Linked DNA regions of Macaca fascicularis. The protein of the gene in region 1 interacts with the protein of each later gene in a biochemical or structural test. Links are inferred from orthologs where the notes say so. Each region holds a gene or a part of one and is shown in the gene's direction. Other genes may lie near its edges.

Region 1 (3,809 bases):
TTCTACATTTTGACTATTGTGAATAATGTTGCTCTGGACATTGTTGTACAAGTATCTGTTTGGGTCCTTGTTTTTAGATCTTTTGGTTATATATGTAAGAGTGAAATTGCTGGGTCATATGATTGTTCCATGCTTACCTCTTTGATGAACCCCCAAACTGTGCATTAAGCACTTTATATGAGGTTGGTACTTACTGTATCTACCTTCCAAACTGAGTTCCTTGAAGGCAGAATGTATCCTATACCTCTTATATCTCAGGGCCTAGTACTGTGTGTGATGAGTAGATGCTCAATAAATGGTGCAGTGAGAGCAGGAGGGCCTGAATAAGTGGGAGTATTGGGGTGCTGATAAGCCAGGGTTTTGCATCATCCAATGACTGGCTGGAATGGAATATGAGGTCCTACTCCAGGCTCCAGCTGTAAGGGTGGTTGGCCAGTGGGTGGGGGCTCTTGGGACTTCTCCAGGCCTCACCCGCCTCTCTGGTCCCCCAGCAAGCCCCCTCTCCGGAGGAGGAGTTCCAGTTTCTGCGCTGCCAGCAATGCCAGGCTGAAGCCAAGTGCCCGAAGCTGCTGCCTTGTCTGCACACGCTGTGCTCAGGATGCCTGGAGGAGTCGGGCATGCAGTGCCCCATCTGCCAGGCGCCCTGGCCCCTAGGTGCAGACACGCCTGCCCTGGATAACGTCTTTTTCGAGAGTCTGCAACGGCGCCTGTCGGTGTACCGGCAGATTGTGGATGCACAGGCTGCGTGCATCCGCTGCAAAGAGTCCGCCGACTTCTGGTGCTTTGAGTGCGAGCAGCTCCTCTGCGCCAAGTGCTTCGAGGCACACCAGTGGTTCCTCAAGCACGAGGCCCGGCCCTTAGCAGAGCTGCGCAACCAGTCCGTGCGTGAGTTCCTGGATGGCACCCGCAAGACCAACAATATCTTCTGCTCCAACCCCAACCACCGCACCCCTACACTGACCAGGTGAGTGGGCTGGCACAGGGTGGGATGGTGCATCCAAGAACCAGGTAGAGGTGAGAGGAGCAAAGATCCAAAGAGTCACACAGCTGAGGACAAGGAGCTTCTGGGGCCTTGCAACTCTAAATGTGGTCTGCAGATATGCAGCATCCGTGGTGACGACCGCAATTTATGCTGCCAGTCCCCACGCAGGTGGATAGTAAGTTTCCAGTTTCCTCCTGTAATAAATAATGCTGCAGAATCATCTTTGCATTGTTATCCAGTAATTTCTTCAGGATAAATTTTTAGAAGTGCCACTGCTGGCTGTAGGGGGACAGAAATTCTACATTTGATACATGTTACCAAACTGCCCTTTAGAAAGTCTTCGAGTGAAATTTTCCATGAGCGCTGACAGAGAATCTCAGTAAGGCTGGATTCTAGGATCAGAGGCAGGTAGGTAGTTTCTGTCTGAAAAGTTGAGACCATTAACACCAGGCAGTGCTATCTGAGAGTGTCTGTATGGGAAAAAAAAATCACATCCAGTTGTAATTGTTTTTATTAAACAGATTTTAATTCAGTTTTTTAATAGGTAATACATTTGTACAGTTCACGAACAAAATTTATAAAGAGGAGAGAGAGAGTGCAGTCTTCTGTCCATCCTCAACTGTCTAATTCCCACCACTTCTCCCTCTTCCCATCCACAGGTAGTTTTGAATGTTTCTTCTGAGAGTTTCTTTATGACTATATATGCAGGTAGCAGCAGTCTTCTCAGGTCCTATTTTCCCTCTTTTAGCCAAAATGGTAGCATAACTATGTGAACTTTCAACCATCAGAAATAGATTGTTTATAGAAGGCTCTTCTTGGTTCTTAGGGATCCACTTGCAAAATGGAAGCATTTTTCCCTTGTTTTTGACAACTCAGAACTATATATGGCTAAACCACATACCTGCTAAACTACATATCTGCTAAACTGAGTGTGGTTTGTTTCCTGCTTTAGGATAAACTTCCCCCACTATCAGAATAAGCTTTCCCCTCTGACTTCTCAACAGCTGGTATCACCACATTTCTTAGCTTGTTGTAAAGGTTGAGTGGCTTTCCACTTGTTTATTGGCCATTGTGTTTCTTCATTTGTGAATAGCCTGTTTAGGTCCTTTGCCTGTTGTTGTTGTTGTTTCCTTTGAGGAATTAAGGGATTAATTAAGGAATTCAGGAACAAATTCCTCGAAGGAAAAAAATTTATGCGTTTCTTTTGCTCTTACAATTTGTGCAGTTTTAAAACTTACATATTCATTGGATTTTGATTGAAATTGCAATAAATTAGGGGAAATTGGCTTTATCTCTGGTTATATCTTTTGGATTTAAAAATTTTTTTTAATTTTTTTTTTTTTTTGAAATAGAGTCTCCCTGTATCACCCAGGCTGGAGTGCAGTGGCGCGATCTTGGCTTACTGCAACCTTCGCCTCCCGGGTTCAAGCAATTCTCCTGCCTTAGCCTCCCAAGTAGCTGGGATTACAGGTGCATACCACCATGCCTGGCTAATTTTTTGGTATTTTTAGTAGAGACAAGGTTTCACTATATTGGTCAGGCTGGTCTCCTGACCTCAGGTGATCCACCTGCGTTGGCCTCCCAAAGTTCTGGGATTACAGGCGTGAGCCACCGCACCCAGCCTTATACTAATTTCTTAATGAATTTGTAAGCTTTCATGTTTTGAACATGATAATGAAGCCATCCCACGGGATCCATGGGAGACTGGTTCAAATTCATAGATGCTCAAGTCTGTGATATAAAATGGCATAGTATTTGTATATAACCTCTACACATCCTCCTGTATGCTTTATTTTTTATTTTATTTTTATTTTTTGAGACAGGGTCTTGCTCTGTCGCCCAGGCTGGGGTGCAGTGCTGCACTCGTGGCTCACTGCAGCCTCAGTCTCCTGGGGTTCAAACAATCCTCCCACTTCAGCCTCCAGATTATATGGGACTACAGGTGTGCACCACCACGCTCAGCTAATTTTTAATTTTTTTTGTAAAGACAGGGTTTCGCCACATTGCCCAGGCTGGTCTTGAGAATTCTTGGGCTCAAGCAACAACCCTCCCACATAGGCCTCTCAAAGTGCTGGGATTACACGTGTGAGCCACTGTACCCAGTCTCTCCTTGTATACTTTAAATCATCTCTAGATTACTTATAATGCCTAATACAGTGTAAATGCTATGTAAAGAGTTGTTTTACTATATTTTTGAATTTGTATTATTTTTTATTGTGGTCCTTTTTTTTATTGATTTTTTTTTCCCTGAATATTTTTGATCCAAGATTTGTTGAATCCACAGGTGTGTAACCTGCAGATACTGAGGGCCAACTGTACATATAAATTGTTTAACATAGTGCCTGGCACATATTAAATACTCAATGAATGTTAAAATTCTATTATAATTTCTCTGCTCTAGAACAGTTTGAAGAATATAAGAAATTTAAGCTTATAAAAGTTTTTTGAAAAACCATCTTGGAACTGGTGCTTTTTTATAGTAGATTTTTGAGAACTTTTCCCATTTTTACCATGGAATTAGTCTGTTCTGGTTCTTGTGTCAGATTTTTGGAAAATTTTCCAGTTCATCCTGAGTTATCTTTCATAATTTAAAAATCTCAGCCAGGTGCGGTGGCTCACGCCTGTAATCCCAGCACTTTGGGAGGCCGAGGTGGACAGATCACGAGGTCAGGAGATTGAGACCAAAGTGGCTAATACGGTGAAACCCCATCTCTACTAAAAATACAAAAAATTAGCCAGGCATCGTGGCGGGTGCCTGTAGTCCCAGCTACTCGGGAGGCTGAGGCAGAAGAATGGACTGAACCCAGGAGGCAGAGCTTGCAGTGAG
Region 2 (4,321 bases), on another chromosome or scaffold:
CATTATTTGACTCCATTTTCGAGGTTAGAAACTTACTGTACGGTGGCCGGGCGAAGTGGCTCACACCTGTAATCCCAGTACTTTGGGAGGCCAAGGAGGGTGGATCTCCTGAGGTCAGGAGTTCGAGACTGGCCTGGCCAACATGATGGAACCCCGTCTCTACTAAAAATACAAAGAAAATTAACCGGGTGTGGTGGCAGGCGCCTCTAATCCCAGCTACTCGGGAGGCTGAGGCAGGAGAATCACGAGAATCCAGGTTGGAGGTTGGAGATTGCAGTGAGCCGAGATCGCGCCACTGCACTCCAGCCAGCGCGACAAGAGCGAAACTCCATCTCAAAACAAACAGAAACTCAGTGTAAGAAAACAATGCAACCCAAGGCATTTGGGGTGACCTTCACATTGCCTGGGGGTGCCGAGGGACCAGAGATGCTGGCCATGGACTAAGGTCTGGGTATTCTCAGGCAGCAGGGACAAGGTGGGATTTTTTCCTGGTTGCTAAACCCACGTCAAAGTCCAGCTCAGGGACTGGAGCTCAAGAAACCCACCACCCATTCTCCAGTCCGACCGGGGACCTGCATGCACCTGTGCCGTGCTGCCCTGAGTCCTCCAATCCTCCACACTCTTCATCTGTTAGGTACACGTCTGCACCCCAGCCTGCAAAAGTTCCAGGTTCCTCTCAGGGGCAGGCACCCGCACGCCGGCCCAGGGCTTGGCACGCGGGGGCGCTGAAACAGGGCCAGGCCTGGTTTCCAGCCGATCGTCATAGTCCCCAGGCCCAGCAACCTTCCTCACAAAGGCATCGTTAAGAGGCGGGGAAACAAGAGCCAGGAGAGGGGCGCGGAACGGCGGGCGGGACGAACTACCAGCTCCGCGTCCCGGCCAGCTGCGTCGAACCAGGGGCACGGCAGCTGGTGTGCGGTTCGAAAACTAGGAATGGGAAGGTTCGGGGCCCGCTCGGCTCCGGAGGCAGTCGGCGGGCAGTCGCTGGCGGCGTTGGGACAGTCAGTCGCAGCCGGGTACAGGAGCCCGGTCGGCCCTGAGACCGCGACTCCCGGAAGGCCTTGCGGGCGGGGCCGCTCCCGCGCCGTCTCTTGCCGGAAGGTGCGAATTAGGGCGCTCGATTGTGGGCGGGGGCGGAAAGAGGCGCGCTTTAAAGTGGTAACAGATGGTTTTCTTATCCAATAGGATTTAAAAATTTGTCCTTACCCGGCCAACCGCGGAAGTAGGGTAGGCGGGCGGCCAATGGGCACACGGCGGGGGGCGGAGCCGAGGCCTCCGAAGCGGAAGTGGGTTGCTGTTGAGGCGGCGGCATCTTTCTCGAGGGGCTCTCCTGGGCGGCTGGAGAAGCAGCTTCTTCTCTCGAGTGCGACGGCGGCGGCGCCTGCGGACTTAACTAGCTCCAGGTTAGGCTGGGCTTTGCGGGGAAGCAGCGGCAAATCAGGGCCTGTGCAGATGCGAGGTTTAGGCGGCTTCGCGGCCTACAGAGGCCTCGGCCCGCGCGGCTCCACCCGGCCGAGACTCCGCAGCCCGGGACCTCGAGCCAGCTCTGGCCGCTCGCACCGCCTTCCGCGCGGGCGCACCTAACCCGGCTTGGCGCGGGCGACAGAAGTTAAGAGGCCTGCGTCTGGGTCTCGGCTCACCCTGGCGGGCCGCGGCCATGGGGCTTAGTCCATAGCTTAGGAAGGGAAACTGAGGCTCTGGGAAGGGCAGGAACGCCCCCAAGGTCACTCGGAGAGTCGGGCAGGGTGTGCTGTTAGGGGGGAGACCTGGGCAGGGTTTTTGTTCCCCGCTGACGACGTCTCCTTTGTGTGTTCGTGCAGCCGCCCCGCCATCGTGGGGCCTGCGAGTTTGCCCGGGTGCCCGGGTGCCCGGGCCGCATGGCGGGGCCTTTTGTAGGTCGGGAGGATCTGAGTACGGGTGCGGGACTGACAGTGTGGGGCGCCGAGGTCGCAGTCTAAAACTTGGTAGGGCCTCGACTTCCGGACGCGCTTCCGGGCCCCGGCTGATGGTTGGTGGAACGTGTGACTGTGAGGCTTGCGGCCCAGCCCTGCACCGCTCGGGCCCTTCACCCTCTGGCGCGCCTGTAGGCTGGCGTATGAAGATTCTCAAGACCCGAAAAAGAGTTGCTAGTAAACACCGCTTTTCCGCCTTTGATCCATCGAGGAAACAGGGAAAAGGATAGAGCTTGGGCAAGCAGTTTTGGTAGGGATTTCAGCTTTTGTCTTTCACTTGTCGGTTCCCATAGACGTTCACAGTCTTAATAACTTTTGTTCTGTTTCTGCACGAAGTTCTTGAGCCAGACGTTGGGTCTCAGCTCTGGAATCTGACTTACAGTGTCCAAGTGGTTGGGGAGACTGAGGTCCAGAAAAGTGAGGTAGTCTGCCCAAGGTCACAAAGCCGGCTCTTTGGCAGCAGATGAGATTAAGTCTTAACTGCAGGATTAGGCTTTTGAATTCGGTGACCAGGAGTTTTGGGACCGCTGACAGTAAAAGAGACATTGAAGGGAATGTTTTGTTGTTTTCTTGGTGTTTTACTTGTTAATGGACAAGGATACATTGGGTTCAGTTTTACTGTGAGTTTGAGATGAAATAGGGACATTTGAGTAGCAAGCTGTGTTGCTGGCTTTTGTATTGCCTGAATTTGAGCTTCCAAAAATCTTACTTTAATACATCGTTTATTGATCTTAAATTACTACCTTTGTAAGGAGCTTTTGTAAACATTGTTTTTCTAATCTTCATGAAATCTTAATGCCATACGTAAACTATTTTTATAGAATGTATACACATCTGTGCTTTGTACATAAAATGAGTAAGATATTTCACTCTCCTCAAGATCGAAGTAGCATATTTTTGAGGTGTCCTGTATGCCAAACTTACAGCAGTCAACAGTCGTGGTGCTGGCCCTCCTGTAGCTGGGTGAGGATGGAGGGAATAAGAGATACCTCATTTTATTGTGCTTTGCACATATTGCCTTTTTTGCAAGGTGAAGGTTTATAGCAAGTATTCGTCGAGCAAGTCTGTAAGTGCCAGCCATTTTTCCAACAGCATGTGCTCACTTCGTGTCTCTTGTGTCAAGTTTTGGTAATTCACAATATTTCAAACATTTTTTTTTTTTGAGATGGAATCTCAGTCACCCAGGATGGAGTGCAATGGCATGTTCTCGGCCTCACTGTAACCTCTGCTGCCTGGGCTCAAGTGATTCTCCTGCCCCAGCCTCCGGAGTAGCTGGGATTACAGGCACATACTACCACACTCAGCTAATTTTTGTATTTTTAGTGGAGACGGGATTTCACCATGTTGGCCAGGCTGATCTCGAACTCCTGACCTCAAGTGATCTGCCTGCCTTGGCCTTCCAAAGTGTTGGGATTACAGGCATGAACCACCATGCCCAGCCCCAAACCTTTTCATTATTGCATCTGTTACGGTGAGCTGTGGTCAGTGTTTTGGGTTACCATGAATAGCACTAATATAAGATGGTGAACTTAACTGGTAAAAGTTGGGTGTCTAGTAACAGTTCCACTGACTGGCAGTTCCCAGTCTCTCTTCTCAGGCCTCTCTATTCCTTGAGACACAATATTGAAATTAGGCCAGTCAGTGACCCTACAGTGTCCAGACAAAAGGAACAGTCAATTGAATCTCTCTTACTTTAAATCAAGTTAAGAAATGATTAACCTTAGTGAGAAAGGCATATCAAAAGTTGAGATAGGCCAAAAGCTAGGCCTCTTGTGCTGAACAACAGTTGGCCAAGTTGTGAATGCAAAGGAAGAGTTCTTGAAATTAAAATGCTACCCCAGTGAACGCATGAATGATTAGCCAAACAGCCTTATTGCTGATAGGGAGAAAGTTTTAGTGGTCTGGATAGATCAAACCATCCGTGACATTCCCTTAAGCGAAAGCCTAATCCAGATTTAAGGCCCTAACTCTCTTCAGTTCTGTGAAGAGTGAGAAAGGTGAGGAAGCTGCAGAAGAAAAGTTTGAAACTGGCAGAGGTTGGTTCATGAGGTTTAAGGAAGGAAGCCGCCTCTGTAATGTGAAAGTGTAAGGTTGAGGCAGTAAGCATTGATGTAGAAGCTGCAGCAAGTTATGCAGAATATATAGCTAAAATAATTGATGAAGGTGGCCACACTGAACAACAGACTTTCAATGTAAATGAAACAGCCTTATATGGAAAAAAAAAATACTATCTAGGACTTTCATAGCCAGAGAAAGATCAATGCCTGGCTTCAAAGGACAGGCTGATTCTCTTGTTAGGGGCTAATGTGACCCGTGACTAAATTGTAACCAGTGCTCATTTACCATTCTGAAAATCCTAGGGCCCTTAA

What was found.
Region 2: of the proteins of PML (region 1) and RNF4, one has a biochemical effect on the other in vitro, tested with the Homo sapiens proteins (3 studies listed by BioGRID, with this or other methods). The link is inferred for Macaca fascicularis from reciprocal best matches to the Homo sapiens genes PML and RNF4.

What each region holds. Positions count from the first base shown.
Region 1 is NC_088381.1:50,921,832-50,925,640, forward strand, and holds part of PML (protein PML), read left to right. Parts: intron 1-491; coding exon 492-964; intron 965-3,809.
Region 2 is NC_088379.1:2,631,112-2,635,432, forward strand, and holds the start of RNF4 (E3 ubiquitin-protein ligase RNF4), read left to right. Parts: upstream 1-1,277; 5' UTR 1,278-1,403; intron 1,404-4,321. UniProt on the Homo sapiens protein: E3 ubiquitin-protein ligase which binds polysumoylated chains covalently attached to proteins and mediates 'Lys-6'-, 'Lys-11'-, 'Lys-48'- and 'Lys-63'-linked polyubiquitination of those substrates and their subsequent targeting to the proteasome for degradation.